4 linked regions of the Macaca mulatta genome follow. The protein of the gene in region 3 purifies or fractionates together with the protein of the main gene of each other region. This does not show direct contact. Links are inferred from orthologs where the notes say so. Each region holds a gene or a part of one and is shown on either strand. Other genes may lie near its edges.

The links.
Region 1: the proteins of GIT1 (region 3) and GRK2 purify together in Homo sapiens (affinity purification with western blotting; 4 studies listed by BioGRID and IntAct, with this or other methods). This does not show direct contact. The link is inferred for Macaca mulatta from reciprocal best matches to the Homo sapiens genes GIT1 and GRK2.
Region 2: the proteins of GIT1 (region 3) and ARHGEF6 purify together in Homo sapiens (affinity purification with mass spectrometry; 3 studies listed by BioGRID and IntAct, counting the BioPlex papers as one, with this or other methods). This does not show direct contact. The link is inferred for Macaca mulatta from reciprocal best matches to the Homo sapiens genes GIT1 and ARHGEF6.
Region 4: the proteins of GIT1 (region 3) and PAK1 purify together in Homo sapiens (affinity purification with mass spectrometry; 6 studies listed by BioGRID and IntAct, with this or other methods). This does not show direct contact. The link is inferred for Macaca mulatta from reciprocal best matches to the Homo sapiens genes GIT1 and PAK1.

What each region holds. Positions count from the first base shown.
Region 1 is NC_133419.1:7,100,217-7,104,399, reverse strand, and holds the end of GRK2 (beta-adrenergic receptor kinase 1), read left to right. Parts: intron 1-241; coding exon 242-342; intron 343-820; coding exon 821-887; intron 888-959; coding exon 960-1,055; intron 1,056-1,315; coding exon 1,316-1,478; intron 1,479-1,955; coding exon 1,956-2,092; intron 2,093-2,183; coding exon 2,184-2,297; coding exon of another isoform or gene 2,298-2,319; intron 2,320-2,373; coding exon of another isoform or gene 2,374-2,394; coding exon 2,395-2,559; 3' UTR 2,560-3,675; downstream 3,676-4,183. UniProt on the Homo sapiens protein: Specifically phosphorylates the agonist-occupied form of the beta-adrenergic and closely related receptors, probably inducing a desensitization of them. Key regulator of LPAR1 signaling.
Region 2 is NC_133426.1:143,013,208-143,016,771, reverse strand, and holds part of ARHGEF6 (rho guanine nucleotide exchange factor 6), read left to right. Parts: intron 1-996; coding exon of another isoform or gene 997-1,008; coding exon 1,009-1,134; coding exon of another isoform or gene 1,135-1,152; intron 1,153-2,706; coding exon 2,707-2,727; intron 2,728-3,564. UniProt on the Homo sapiens protein: Acts as a RAC1 guanine nucleotide exchange factor (GEF).
Region 3 is NC_133421.1:38,321,391-38,324,954, reverse strand, and holds part of GIT1 (ARF GTPase-activating protein GIT1), read left to right. Parts: intron 1-98; coding exon 99-211; intron 212-332; coding exon 333-438; intron 439-992; coding exon 993-1,210; intron 1,211-1,300; coding exon 1,301-1,395; intron 1,396-1,740; coding exon 1,741-1,783; intron 1,784-3,564. UniProt on the Homo sapiens protein: GTPase-activating protein for ADP ribosylation factor family members, including ARF1.
Region 4 is NC_133419.1:77,745,012-77,748,419, reverse strand, and holds part of PAK1 (serine/threonine-protein kinase PAK 1), read left to right. Parts: intron 1-310; coding exon 311-448; intron 449-1,177; coding exon of another isoform or gene 1,178-1,231; exon of another isoform or gene 1,232-1,243; intron 1,244-3,408. UniProt on the Homo sapiens protein: Protein kinase involved in intracellular signaling pathways downstream of integrins and receptor-type kinases that plays an important role in cytoskeleton dynamics, in cell adhesion, migration, proliferation, apoptosis, mitosis, and in vesicle-mediated transport processes.

The sequences.
Region 1 (4,183 bases), on a different chromosome or scaffold from region 3:
GGCATGACTCTTGCTTCCCACCAGCCAGCAGAGATCTCGGCCACTGACCCCTACTCTGGCCTCCGAGGCAGACCTCCTGCCCCTAGGCTCTTGTCCTCCCCTTGCTGTTGGAGCACCTGACAGATGGAAGCTGCGCCCCATCTGTCCCTCTGCCGGGGGCTTGGACCCCTCTCTCCCCTGAGCTGGGATGGGGTCGAGGGCTCTTCCTAAGCCCCTGCTAATGTCCCACTCCTCTCTAAAGGCTGTGGAGCTGCCCGACTCCTTCTCCCCTGAACTCCGCTCCCTGCTAGAGGGGCTGCTGCAGAGAGACGTCAACCGGAGACTGGGCTGCCTGGGCCGAGGGTGAGTGCCCTGGCGCCTTGGGCATGCTGCCGGCTGTGCCCCCATGAGGACAAGGGCTGTGTCCCGTCACCTGGAACCCCCTCCAAGGTCGCAGCCTCCTTGGAGGAGCTCACAAGTTGGGGCATGGCCAGCCCTGTCCAATGTTCTCAGGGTGGAGGGGCTGCCCTGGGGGTTGGAGCTGCTGGAACCAGCTGGTAACTGGCTTCCAGAGGGGCCCTTGTCACAGACAATGATAATAGCAGCTTTTTATGTTTATTGAACATTTATTAAGCACTGGGCATAGGGTTGCAAAATTTACCAATGTTAAAACCCACAACCCTATGATGTAGGAACTTCTGTTCTCCCATTTGAGAGATGAGGAAACAGCTCAAGCTTAAGGAACTTGCCCAAGTTCACAGAGCCAGAAAGTGGCTCAACCAGGAGTTAAGCCCAGGGCTCAGGGTGGGGCTGAGCCCAGATGACTGGCCTCTCCCCGCAGGGCTCAGGAGGTGAAAGAGAGCCCCTTTTTCCGCTCCCTGGACTGGCAGATGGTCTTCTTGCAGAAGGTAACAGTCTGCGGCAGGGACTGGGGGTGCTCTGCAGTCCCACCCCCGAGCTAATGCCCTGTTCTGCTGCAGTACCCTCCCCCGCTGATCCCCCCACGAGGGGAGGTGAACGCGGCTGACGCCTTCGACATTGGCTCCTTTGATGAGGAGGACACAAAAGGAATCAAGGTACTGGGCCTTGCCTGGCCTCTTGTACCTGGGCTCTGATCCTGGCCTGGGGGAGGATCCCTGTCCCTTCTTATCACCCGTGAGACCCTGTGCCAGCCCTGCCAGCTTGTAGGCCTCAGCTCCTCCTCAGCCAACTTCCCTGGGGGTGGCAGTTGCACTGACCATCCCTACCCAGGGCCCTGGGTCTGGGCAGCCTGTGGCTGATGGTATTCCGGCATCTCTGTCCATTCATGTGCCCCTGCCCCATCCACCTGGTAAAGTTACTGGACAGTGATCAGGAGCTCTACCGCAACTTCCCCCTCACCATCTCGGAGCGGTGGCAGCAGGAGGTGGCCGAGACTGTCTTCGACACCATCAACGCTGAGACAGACCGGCTGGAGGCTCGCAAGAAAGCCAAGAACAAGCAGCTGGGCCATGAGGAAGGTGAGGGTCGCCGGCTGCTGCGGCACCAGGCCCCTGCCTGCTTAGAAGGGAGCAGCTGGCTCGGGTTTAAGGAACTCGCCCTGGATCACAGCCAGAAAGTGGCGGCTCTGGGATTGAAACTCAGGCTGGGGCCGGGCGTGGTGGCTCACGCCTGTAATCCCAGCACTTTGGGAGGCCAAGGAGCGCAGATCACTTGAGGTCAGGAGTTTGAGACCAGCTTGGCCAACATGGTGAAACCCTGTCTCTACCAAAAAATACCAAAAAAAATTAGCCGGGCATGGTGGCACGCGCCTGTACTCCCAGCTACCCGGGAGGCTGAGGCGGGAGGATCGCTTGAACCTGGGAGGTGGAGGTTGCAGTGAGCCAAGATTTTGCCACAGCCCTCCAGCCTGGGCAACAGAGTGGAGACCCTGTCTGAAAACAACAAAAAAGAAACCCAGGTGGGGCCGGCTGAGTCTCCTCTGTCTCTCACCTCAGACTACGCCCTGGGCAAGGACTGCATCATGCACGGCTACATGTCCAAGATGGGCAACCCCTTCCTGACCCAGTGGCAGCGGCGGTACTTCTACCTGTTCCCCAACCGCCTGGAGTGGCGGGGCGAGGGCGAGGCCCCGGTAAGGAGCCCGTGCGGGGGTCTGGGAGCTGGGCTTCCAGGTGGCCGGCCGGCCCGGCTCTTACCCGCACCACCCATCCCTGGCCCTGCAGCAGAGCCTGCTGACCATGGAGGAGATCCAGTCCGTGGAGGAGACGCAGATCAAGGAGCGCAAGTGCCTGCTCCTCAAGATCCGCGGTGGGAAACAGTTCGTTTTGCAGTGCGACGTGAGTGGGGGCTGGGCTGGGGGTGGGAGGGCCAAGGGGCCAGGTCAGGCAGGCTGGGGAGAGCCCCAGCTAACAGAGCTGGGCTTGGCATGTGTAGAGCGACCCTGAACTGGTGCAGTGGAAGAAGGAGCTGCGTGACGCCTACCGCGAGGCCCAGCAGCTGGTGCAGCGGGTGCCCAAGATGAAGAACAAGCCGCGCTCGCCCGTGGTGGAGCTGAGCAAGGTGCCGCTGGTCCAGCGCGGCAGTGCCAACGGCCTCTGACCCGCCCGCCTGCCTTTTATAAACCTCTAATTTATTTTGTCGAATTTTTATTATTTGTTTTCCCGCCAAGCGGAAAAGGTTTTATTTTGTAATTATTGTGATTTCCTGTGGCCCCAGCCTGGCCCACCTTCCCCGGGAGGGGCCTGCTTGCCTCAGCTCCTGCTGCACCAACCCAGCCGCTGCCCGGCACCCACCGTCCTGACCCCAGGGGCTGCCCACTCCCAGTGTCTTCCTGTGGGGGAAGAGCACAGCCCTCTCGCCCCTTCCCTGAGGGATGATGCCACACCAAGCTGTGCCACCCTGGGCTCTGTGGGCTGCACTCTGTGCCCACGGGCACTGCTGAGTGGCCCAGCCTCCCTCACTGGGGTGGGCGCAGCACAGGGATCCGACTGAATTTTCCCACTGCACCCCTCCTGCTGCAGAGGGGCAGGCCCTGCACTGTCCTGCCCCACAGCGTTGGTGAGAGGAGGGGCCTGTTGTCTCCCTGGTCCCCAAGGCCTCCCACAGTGACTCGGGCTCCTGTGCCCTTATTCAGGAAAAGCCTCGGTGTCACTGGCTGCCTCCACTCCCACTTCCCTGACACTGCAGGGCTCGGCTGAGAGGGTGGCATTGGCGGCAGGTGCTGCTACCCTCCCTTCTGTCCCCTCTTGCCCCAACCCCCAGCACCTGGGCTCAGGGACCACAGCAAGGCTACTGTGGGTTGGGCCATACTGGCCTCGCCTGGCCTGAGGTCTCCCCGATGCTGGGGCGGGTGCGACCCCTTCTGCCCAGGACGGGGCCGGCCAGGTGGGCGGGCAGCACATCAAGGAGGCTGGCTGGGGACTGTCAGTGTGCCCCCCACCCCGGCCCATCAGTGTACCCTTGCCCAGGCTGGCCAACCCCACAGCCCACGTCCTGTCAGTGCCGCCACCTTGGGGCGCCGCCTCGCCCACCGCATGCCCCCTCGTGCCAGTCACGCTGCCTGTGTGGTGTCGCGCCTTCTCCCCCCCGGGGCTGGGTTGGCGCACCCTCCCCTCCCGTCTACTCATTCCCCGGGGCGTTTCTTTGCCGATTTTTGAATGTGATTTTAAAGAGTGAAAAATGAGACTATGCGTTTTTATAAAAAATGGTGCCTGATTCGGCTGTCTCAGACTCTTTGTACCTGGTGACTGCTTTTCAGCCTCTGCTGGGCTGGGGCCTGAGCGGGAGGGTCTCGGTGGTACCAGGTCTCCACCACCACCACGGCTTCCAAGGTGGCCTGCTGGGGCCCAGGCCATCTTCCAGGTGGGGTGAGGCAGTGAGTCCCACTCCCCGTCCTGCCCTTCCCAGCTGGCAGTCCTCCCGCCTAGTGGCTGTCCAGTGCCCATTCCTCACCTTTTCTCAGGGAGGAGAGAGCAGCTTCTGCCACTTACCAGGTAAGTAGGAGGAGGTGCCAGCAGTGTTACATCTGGTGCAGTGTCTGGGCTGACTGCGACCTTCTCAGGCCCACAGAACACCCCTGCACAGCAGGCTCCAAGCTGACGCCCCTCCCCAGAAACAGTCACAAGGCATGTCTGCTCTCTAGATCGCGCCGCAGGCCCTTGGCCATCTCTGGCTTCAGCCTCCTCTCTGTTCTCACTGCACAGCCCTAGTAGGGGTCCCTGAG
Region 2 (3,564 bases), on a different chromosome or scaffold from region 3:
TATTTAGAAGAAGCAACAAGCACACCCTCAGCCTTTTGGGCAGCCTATATTTGTAGATTTTGAAGTACAGTTAAACCTCACTCATTCTGATTTCTCATTATGAGGCCCATCCAAATTAATGAAAAGGTTTACTTAGAGGTGTGCAGTTCTGTTTGACAGTATTCAGGTACCCCAACTAACTGCCAGCAAAGTATTTCTAACCAGAAGTCCTGCTAAAATATTTTAATGATAAGCAAGGCTTATTTCAATCAGCAATGGTTACTCTCCTACTAACAATGGGCTAAGTAGAAACAAATAGTTTACCTCCCTAAGTACTTAAACATCTCCATGTCATCTCACTCATGCTCTCACATTTGCTCAGTAACCTTCTTCAAAGGTAAACTTTCAGCATTGTCTCTTTCTGAGTTATCACAAATTTACACTTTGGAATTTGAATTGATGAGATTTTACTGTACTTGCTGAGTGAGATGGAAGATATACTGTGTTGTTTGTTAACATACAAACCTATGATGCCAAAATTCCAGTTTTGAGCACTGTGTGTTGTGGTCGGAAGAATATGGGCTTTGGCTTCAGATCTGGGTTCAAATCTTGGCTTTGCCAATTACTAGTTAGTTACTTCACTTGACTGAGTCTATGTTTTAGGCTGTTCTCATGAAATAATCTATTTAAGCACCTACCAGAGTGCCAAACATATCACTGAACTCAAATGTTGACTGCTACTCCATTTTCTTTCCTTACAGAGGAAAGAAAATTAAATTAATTAAATTCCAGATGAGAAAGAGAGGACAGGATCATGGAATGTTGAGTCAATTTTGTGCTGTTTCTTAGAGACCCCGTAATCTTGACTGGAAAGAGCCAGTTCTCAAACTGGAGACTTTTGTTCTTCCGTCTATCCCTTTCTATGGCTGTCTTTGCTGATCCAATGAAGCTATTGTTGTTCTCTCACTGTGTGGCACAAGGTCGGGTTCAGATGGCAGATTGCCAACATCTCATCAGACATTTTCCCAGTCTTTTAGCTCTACTGGACAGCCCCGAGGACCCTTGGAGCCTCCTCAAATTATAAAACCGTGGAGTTTAAGTTGTCTACGACCTGCACCTCCACTTAGACCATCAGCAGCACTAGGTTATAAAGAGGTAATTTTGCTACCTATGGTATAAAATGCTTCTGACAAGTTAATTTCATAGCTTGTTACAAATAGTTCTGTGGGAATGTGCTAGAATTTAAGATAGGTGGTATATGTGAGTCAGTCTTGAATTGCTAGACTCAGTGATTTGTTTGGTTTCTTAATTTTCCGTTTCCCATTATCCATCTGCAAATATGTACTGAATATCTATAGGATCTATGTGCACTGCCTGAGTGTTCCCAGTCTCCTCCTGAAGTGCCTCTGGTTTACCTTAATGATTATTATGATAATTCTTTAGATTCATTAATAATGTACACAAATCTCAAGAGCTACTTCATTGTAGTTGAGTTGCCAATGAAGCAGACCTAATTCAGCATTTGGGATCATTTTGATCAATTTGAACCAAATTAGTAAAGTGTTATGGGACCAAGCTATGAGTCCAAACTATAAAAGTGATATTTGCTTCAATTGGAATGAGAAAAGAATTTGATGAAAGGAGTGTCTTTTAAAAAGAGGCTTCTCAGAGACAACCTTAAAGGCCATTTGATATTTGGGTAGTGTGGGGATTTAAAGGTTTTGTGTATTTTTTTTTTCTCTAGAAGTTGCAGTCAGGAAGTGTCACTCACTAGCTTCTGTAACTGTGTGGAGTATTACTTTTCCATCCAAACAGTGGCTTTATCCCTAACCTGTCTCAAATCATTTCAGATTTCAGAAAAGATACTCATTTATTAGTAACTGTTCTTTAAATCAGTCTCATTGGGTGAAGATTAAGTTTGTGACAGTTATGAGATGAGTCTTAGAATTATGGGGCAAAGGCAGCATATATTTCTAGATCAAATGTGTGTTTTGATGAGTGATGCAGACTCAGCTCAATTTTGAGTGTTTTGATTTAAACCACCATGCTTTTGTTTCGATTAATTGTTGCTACCAACTCTAAGTGCAGTAAAAATAAGACAATATTTGGACACTGGAGGATGTTTTGATCCTTTCAACTTGACATGATAGGACAAACAACCCTTGAACTGAATCTTTGTTATATAACTGTATTTAGAATTTGGTCAGGAAGCAGTCCCACAGATTTACTTTGGAAATTTACCTGCAATTCTTGCAGTCATCCAATTTTCTTCTTTGATTATGTAAACCAGGAGTGCCACTTCATAGTTACCTCGGTCTCCTTTTTAATGACAGATATTTTGTAATTATCAGTTACTAAGTTCAAATTAAGGTGAGCTTTGAAGAGTAAAGTTGACTTAATCCTTCACATAACTAATCTATTAAAACTAAGGCATGATCACTTCGTTTCTGCTGGGGGAAAAGAGTTATTAATATATTCCTACTAGATAGTATGTATTTCAGTTGTTTTCAGCATTTGTTATTCTGCACAGAACTGTATTCCTCAGGCTTTTGCATGATAATATTGCATCTGAAACTAATGTGGGAAATGTGATTATATTCCCTCTGTGTAATTTATGATAACACTAACATTTCAAATGTTGTTTTAGAATTATTGATAAGTGGATTTGGTCATTATAACCATCGACCTCTCACGCTCATCTTCTCTTTCTTTACATATTCATTTTAGAGGATGTCTTATATCTTAAAGGTAAGGGTAGAACAATATCTTTGGCTTACAGTGACATCATAATGCTGTGCTGTAACCTTTGATGAATGAAGCTTTCCCTTATGCTTGTTTTGTCCCTTGTTGTAATTGGTGGCTAAAATATGAAGATGCAATTCTGACATGTAAGTACTTTGTTGAAAAAGCAGGCTTGTGTGAAATACATATAAAAATGTCATAATGCCCTAAAATGCCCCATTTTCCTGCCTTTTTTTAAAGTGCTGCTTTTTCCTGTTATTTTTGTCATGTGAGAGTTTTTCATATCTGTCTTTTTTCAAGTATAAGTACTGTGGCTGAGTGAAATGAATTAAATGATTTGTTTCCTGTATTTTTAAGCTACTATTAATAATTAATATCCATGCTCCATGTATACACATTTCTTGGAAAGTTGGGATAAGGTGATCATGAGAGATTTTTCCTAAGTCTAAGTTGCTAATCTGTTTACAGATTATTGGATTAAGGATTAAGGATATTGTCAATGAGTATTTTTTTGACCTGCTGGTTACTCATATGGCAAAAACAAATTCAATACATTTATTTTGTCTACTAGTTAAATACATGGCTTTATATATGAAAAATTAAGTTTGGCTGTGGGTGTGTTACTTCTAACCCAAAATTATTTATTAGGAAATCCTTCATTTGATTCTTCTCTCTGCAGAAAAATGACTTAGTCTCTCTGCCTTAGTTTTCCTGTCTCACAAATGGAAATTATATTCTTCTTTGTGGGACTGTTTCTAAGGCAGAATTATTTAAATAGCTCTGAAGCTCTTTGAAAAGTGATCAATACTACATTAGTGGTTACAGTGGCTTAGTTCCCCTAAA
Region 3 (3,564 bases):
TTTCCAGCTACGCCAGCCACAGCAGGCGCTCAGGAGGTGTTTCCCCCAGTGCCCAGCACGCAGTGGGCACTCTCTCATTTGGCATCTCTTCCCCGCAGATGGTGCACACGCTTGCCAGCAACGGGGCCAACTCCATCTGGGAGCACTCCCTGCTGGACCCCGCACAAGTGCAGAGCGGCCGGCGTAAAGCCAACCCCCAAGACAAAGTCCAGTGAGTGGGGCTGGAGGGGTGGTGGGCAGAGACTGCACAGTCTGGGACAGGGCCCTGGGAGGTGGCAAAGTGACCACCCTCTCCCACCATGCCCCCCATTCCTCCTGTGTGCCCCATGCAGCCCCATCAAGTCAGAGTTCATCAGGGCCAAGTACCAGATGCTGGCGTTTGTGCACAAGCTTCCCTGCCGGGACGATGATGGGGTCACCGCCAAAGACCTCAGCAAGGTTTGAGGGGCCCTACAACAGATGGGTGGCCCCCTCTTCTTCCCACCCTTGACTCTCTGAAGGCCTCTCCTTTGTCCCCACTGAGGCCTGGGCCCCAAAGGCCGCAAGGTCAGGTGGTAACAGTAGGCAGGATGGAAAGAGCAGATTGCTAGGTCAAGCCATGTGCGGCTGAGGCTCCTCAGCAACCAAGTGGACACAGAAGGCTAGAAGCCCACAACTGCCACTCAGAAGCTGGGAAAACCTGGGGGTAGTTGCTTAGCCTCTCACAGCCTCAGTTTCATCATCTGTAAAATGGGAAAGAAATAACAGCATCTACTTCATGAAGACATTATCTTAAGCAGGGCACACAGCACACGTGGTAGATGGTGACTGACAGCAGCGTTTATTGATTGGCATTAACCCCTAGTGGGGAGCCTCTGTCCTCCTGACATAGCCTGGTTTGGGCAGGCCTCCTTGGAGCTGCTAGGCGTCCCAGGGGCAGCCAGGGTGCAGCTTGCAGGTGGAGAGGTGCGCCTCACGCAATGTGTATTCATTGCACGCTCTGCTCCTCGTAGCAACTGCACTCAAGCGTGCGGACAGGCAACCTGGAGACATGTCTGCGCCTGCTATCCCTGGGTGCCCAGGCCAACTTCTTCCACCCAGAGAAGGGCACAACACCTCTGCACGTGGCTGCCAAGGCAGGGCAGATACTGCAGGCCGAGCTGCTTGTAGTGTATGGGGCTGACCCTGGCTCCCCTGATGTTAATGGCCGCACACCCATTGACTATGCCAGGTGAGGGTCAGCTGAAGGGTGCAGCGTGGGTGGGTGGGGGTGTGGGTGAGGGCTGCTGCTGCAGGGCTGAGCCATACCCCCTCCCCACAGGCAGGCGGGGCACCATGAGCTGGCGGAAAGGCTGGTTGAATGCCAATATGAGCTCACTGACCGGCTGGCCTTCTACCTCTGTGGACGCAAGCCGGGTGAGCAGAGCTTGGAGCGGGCTTCGCTGGGCTGGGCAGGTGGGACCTGGACACACCCAGCAGCAGGTGCCATGGTGACAGAGCGACTGGGGAGCAGTGTTGCTAGGCAACTGGCTCCTGTGAAATTGCTGCAGGCTCTGGGCCACAGCATCGTTGGGGCTAGGGAGTGGGGGTGGGCATCCTGCATCCTCCCCTGAGCTCCCAGCACTCTTGGGGGTGGCCTGCCCTCCCCCCTTTCCCCTGACACTTCTGGGTGCCAGCCCTGCTCATAGCAGTGAGGTGGGCTCCCAGCTGCTGATGCCACCCAGCTCTAGTGAGTGACTTGGCATTTTTATTTTTGTTCAGATCACAAGAATGGGCATTACATCATCCCACAGATGGCTGACAGGTGAGTGCCCACCTGATGCCCCTTTCCAGAGGCTGTTGGATGCCATGTGGGCAGCTGACCCCCAGAGCTCCCAGCCCAGGCTTCAGGGGCCTAGGACCCTGCTCCCCACCCCCCAGAGACTAGAGGCACAGCTTAGTCCTCAGTCCCTAATGCTGGGCCCCAAGGCAGGTAAAAAAATGTTAGCTCCGTATGTGGCCAGCATAGCCTGAGCCCTGTGACTGTCAAGTACATGGAGGGCTTGGGTGTAAGAAGCTACCTGTGGGCCGGGCGCGGTGGCTCACGCCTGTAATCCCAGCACTTTGGGAGGCCGAGGCGGGCGGATCACCTGAGGTCGGGAGTTCTAGACCAACCTGGCCAACATGGAGAAACCCTGTCTCTACTAAAAAGATAAAATTAGCCAGGTGTGGTGGCGCATGCCTGTAATCCCAGCTACTCGGGAGGCTGAGGCAGGAGAATCCCTCGAACCCAGGAGGCGGAGGTTGCGGTGAGCTGAGATCACGCCATTGCACTCCAGCCTGGGCAACAAGAGCAAAACTCCGTCTCAAAAAAAAAAAAAGCTACCTTCGGCTGGGAGGGTGGGCCACTGGGTTCTGTCTCAGTGGCACTGACCCCACTGTCTTTAGAGAAGCCTCTGCTCCTCACTGAAAAGATGGGTGGGCTTCAGGGATGTGACTAACTTTGAGACTGCACGCTAGGCCTCGAGCATGCTCAGAAATTAGGCAGGTGCCCTGAGGCTGGTTGAATGAGGTGTTTCTGCCTCCGTCTGAGAGGCCCCAAGTGCCCAGGCAGTGTGGGACACCCTCTGCCACTCACCCAGCACATAAGATGGATGCTAGTGCCACCTGGTGGCCACCTCTGATGGCCACGTCCTCATGCCAGGCTGTGCCTTCTGGCCGCCAGGCTGTGCCTTCTGGCCTGGATCTGGAGAGAGGAGGTGCTCTCCTCCCCAAGGGCCTGTGTGGGCAGATGGACATAGCCAAGCCTGGGCAACTCAGATCCTAAACCCAGACCTCCTCGAGACCCCAAGGCTCCTACTTCAGTGGTCTGATTCTACCTGGGCTGTGAGTGTGTGTGTGCGTGTTTACATGCATGTGTGTGTATGGTAAATATACCCACATATGGGCTCCATTCAACAGCACATTAACTGAGCACCTTCCTGGAGCCAGCTACTGCTCTTGGCACTGGGAGCACAGAGGCACCTGAGACACAATCCCTACCCTTGAGGAGCTCACAGTCTAGCTGGGGAGGCAGCCTAGGCAGGTGATTCTAGTCCCCTTGGGGGAGCGCAGCAAGAGAGGCAGAGGCATGGAAGGTAGAAGTGCTGCATGGGAATGGAGGCAGCCCCTGGGGCTGGAGCACAGCATGGGAGGCAGGGAACCCTACGAGCAAGACTGGAATAGAGACAAGCAGGAGAATGAGCAGCCCCGAGAGCATCAGCAGGAGCAGTGACCATCCCAAGAGCAGAGAGTTCCAGGCATAGAAGTGTGAAGTCAGTTCTGCTGCTTACTGGCTGTGTGACTTGCAGGCTGCTTGACCTCTCTGAGCCTTGGTTACCTCTCCTGGAAATGGAGATGACAGTATCTGTTTTTCAGGGAGGAGAGGATTAGATAATGTACGCAAAATGTTTAGCTTTTGGTTTTTTTTTTAAGAGTTGGGGTCTTGCTCTGTTGCCCAGGTTGGAGTGCAGTGGCTCGATCATAGCTTACTGCAGCCTTTAACGATCCTCCTACCATAGCCTCTTGAGTAGCTGGGACTACAGGCACATGCCACTATGCTCAGCT
Region 4 (3,408 bases), on a different chromosome or scaffold from region 3:
TAAACCCTTAGGTCTGTAACATATTTCGTAAGTTTACAAAGTACTTTCAAATACACTATCTTATTTTTACAGATATGTGAGATGGGCATTATCATCATCCTTACTTTACAGATAGGGAAGTTGCACATAGTCTCATGGCCTTTAAATGTTCAGCCTGATCCTTAGGTCATACTCTTTCCAGTATATATACACAGCTGCTACTTTGCATCCTAGAGCATAAAGCAGCTGACCATATTTCTAGAATGTGTATATGGAGAACAAGAGAGAGCCTCAGTTGGAGTTCAAGGTGATTCACCATTTTTATTGCCAGGCCTTGTACCTCATTGCCACCAATGGGACCCCAGAACTTCAGAACCCAGAGAAGCTGTCAGCTATCTTCCGGGACTTTCTGAACCGCTGTCTTGAGATGGATGTGGAGAAGAGAGGTTCAGCTAAAGAGCTGCTGCAGGTAACTGTCCCTGTGCAGGGAAGCACCTAATTCAGGGAATCACTAAACCAGGCCTTTTTTACTTCATGTTTGTCTGTAAGGTACTGGATATTATAGAACTAGGCTTCTCTTTTACCATTTCCTACCCTCACTCTGTTCCTACTGCTCTAACTTTTATCCCTGGGGCTTTGCTTATTTATTTTCTTAGCCTCTTTCTTGGCCTGTTAAAACTCTACACATTCTCCTAGGCTCAGTTTACAATCATTTTCTGAGCACCTATTGAGCTTTGCTTGTAGCTTGCTTCCTTCCTTCCTTCCTTCCTTCCTTCCTTCCTTCCTTCCTTCCTTCCTTCCTTCCTTCCTCCCTCCCTCCCTCGCTCCCTCCCTCCCTCCCTCCCATCCTCCCTTCCTCCCTCCCTCCCTTCCTCCCTTCCTCCCTTCCTCCCTCCTTCCTTTTCCTTTCCTTTCTTTCCTTTCTTTCTTTTCTTCTTCCTTTCCCTTTCTTTTCTTTCCTTTTCCTTCCTTTCCCTTTCCTTCCTTCCTTCCTTTCCTTTCCTTTCCTTTCCTTTCCTTTCCTTTCCTTTCCTTTCCTTTCCTTTCCTTTCCTTTCCTTTCCTTTCCTTTCCTCTCCCTCTCCCTCCCCCTCCCCCTCCCCTTTCCCTTCCCCCCTCCCTTACTCTCACCTCCCCACAGGGTCTCACTCTGTCACCCGGGCAGGAGTGTACAATGGTGTGATTTTGTCTCACTGCAGTTTTCCTCTCCTGGGTTCACTCAAGTGATCTTCCCACCTCAGCCTCCCAAGTAGCTGGGACTACAGGTACATGCCACCATACCGGGCTAATTTTTTAAAAAGTTTTTTGTAGAGACGCGGTTTTGCTGTGTTAGCTAGGCTGGTCTCAAATTCCTGGGTTCAAGCGATGTGACCACCTCGGTTTCCCAAAGTGCTGGGACTACAGTTATGAGCCACCATGCCCGGCCTGCTTGTATCTTTCATTAGCACATCCTTTGTTCTGTTTGAATTAGTCTGGCAGAGTTTGTTTGAGTCTTGTTGAGAAATGGCTCTCTGACATCCAAATCTTACGCAAGTTATATTTTTGCTGGGATTAGCTCAAAGGATACATTTTTAGCAAAGGAACATACGTTTATTTTATTTTATTTATGTTTTATTTTTTGAGACAGGATCTCTGTCTGTTGCCCAGGCTGGAGTGCAGTGGTGCAGTCATGGCTCACTGCAGCCCCAGCCTCCCCAGGTTCTGCTGATCCTCCCACTTTAGCCTCCAGAGTAGGTGGGACTACAAGCGTGCACCACCATACCTGCCTAATTTTTATATTTTCTGTAAAGACAGGGTTTTGCCATGTTGCTCAGGCTGGGCTCAAACGATCTGCCCGCTATAGCCTCCCAAAGTGTGGAATTACAGGCATGGCATGAGCCACCATGCCCATCCATGGAACATAAGTTTAGAAGATAATTAGTGAGTATGGCTTTTGGAGTCTATACTTTCTTCACTGGAAATCCTCAGATAATGGCAATGATACTCTACTTGTTGAGAGTGAGATTTTGCCAGTTTGTGGAGAAACCCGGAGTCAGGGGTTTACCAGGCCTTTTATACTCCCACCCCCCTAATCCTGATAATTTTACATGGTTGAAAAAATTGCCTTTAGCAGGCCACGTCATTTGTATTTAACATATTTGTTTCCAGTACAATTTCTTATAACAAGTGTTCTTTTATTGTATTGCCCACTAGTGATTTAATAGTAAGTATCATGTGCAACTTTATGAAGGCATGCACTGTCATTTATTTTCGTATTATAAAGCCCAGGAGTGACAGAGCAGGGCAGGGCAGGGCAGGACCTAGCATACTGCCCTGTGTTAATTATGAATCTTTCCTACTGGATTATAACCTCTATTTTATTAATCCCTGAGTTTCTTGTTTTACCTAGAACCTGACTTAGGATAGGTACTCAAAAAATATTTATTGAATTGAATGAAATTGCTGGAAGAACCTACATTGGAATATCATCCTCTGGAACATATTTATCATCTCTTTGTAATTGAGGTTACTGATTATGGAGTACTGGCCTATTAGATATGAGATCTGGGTTCTGCCAAGTGTAACCCATTAGTCTCTAGTATCTGTTGGGACTAAAAGTCTCTTAGTACAATGTAGGACCCCTTTTGCTGTTCATGAGAGTTGTATTCTGCAAACTGTAGGCACTGGGAAATGTGTAAATACGATATGCTAAGCCTATGATTAGTAAAGATACCATTCTTAATTAAGTACCAAACTATAGTTCTTGAAAGGTTAGTGCCCTCTAAAGTTTTCTTCCTGATACAGTAATATAACTAGTAATAAATGCATTATATTGAATCTTTACCATATTTTAGGCACTAAACACTTTATATATTTAGGCACTAATAAGCACTTTATATATTGTCCTTCACAACAACTCTATGAGTTATAGGTTCTGTTATTCTCATTTTTACAGATGAGGAAACTGAGGTTTCAAGTATTTAGTAACTTTTCCATGATAGCTGATATGTGGCAGATCCAGGATTTCAGCCTGTTTGGCTCCGAAGTGTGTATGCTCTTGGCCACTGCTCTTACAGGCTCAAAGAGTATCACAACTGGAAAGCCCTTAGGGCTCATCTAGTCTGTTTTGTTTATTAGACAGAGAAGGAAACTGAGGCCTTCCAGTTCGGTGTTGGATCATGCTGCTCTCAACTTAGGGGAATTGTAGAAACATGTGATCTGAGAAAGCTGGCTTTTTAACTTGTTCGTGTACATTGTAAATATTGAAAACCATGACTTTGAGAATCGTAAATCATAAAAGCTTCACATCTGTTTCTCCTGTGAGAACACACTTATGGACAGAAATACATAGGATGATATATATTGGAATTCCTATCTTCATGATTTAGCTAGGATCTTTTATTCCTTTCATAGTAATAGTACCTTCTTGTTCTCAGTAGCTCTTTATACT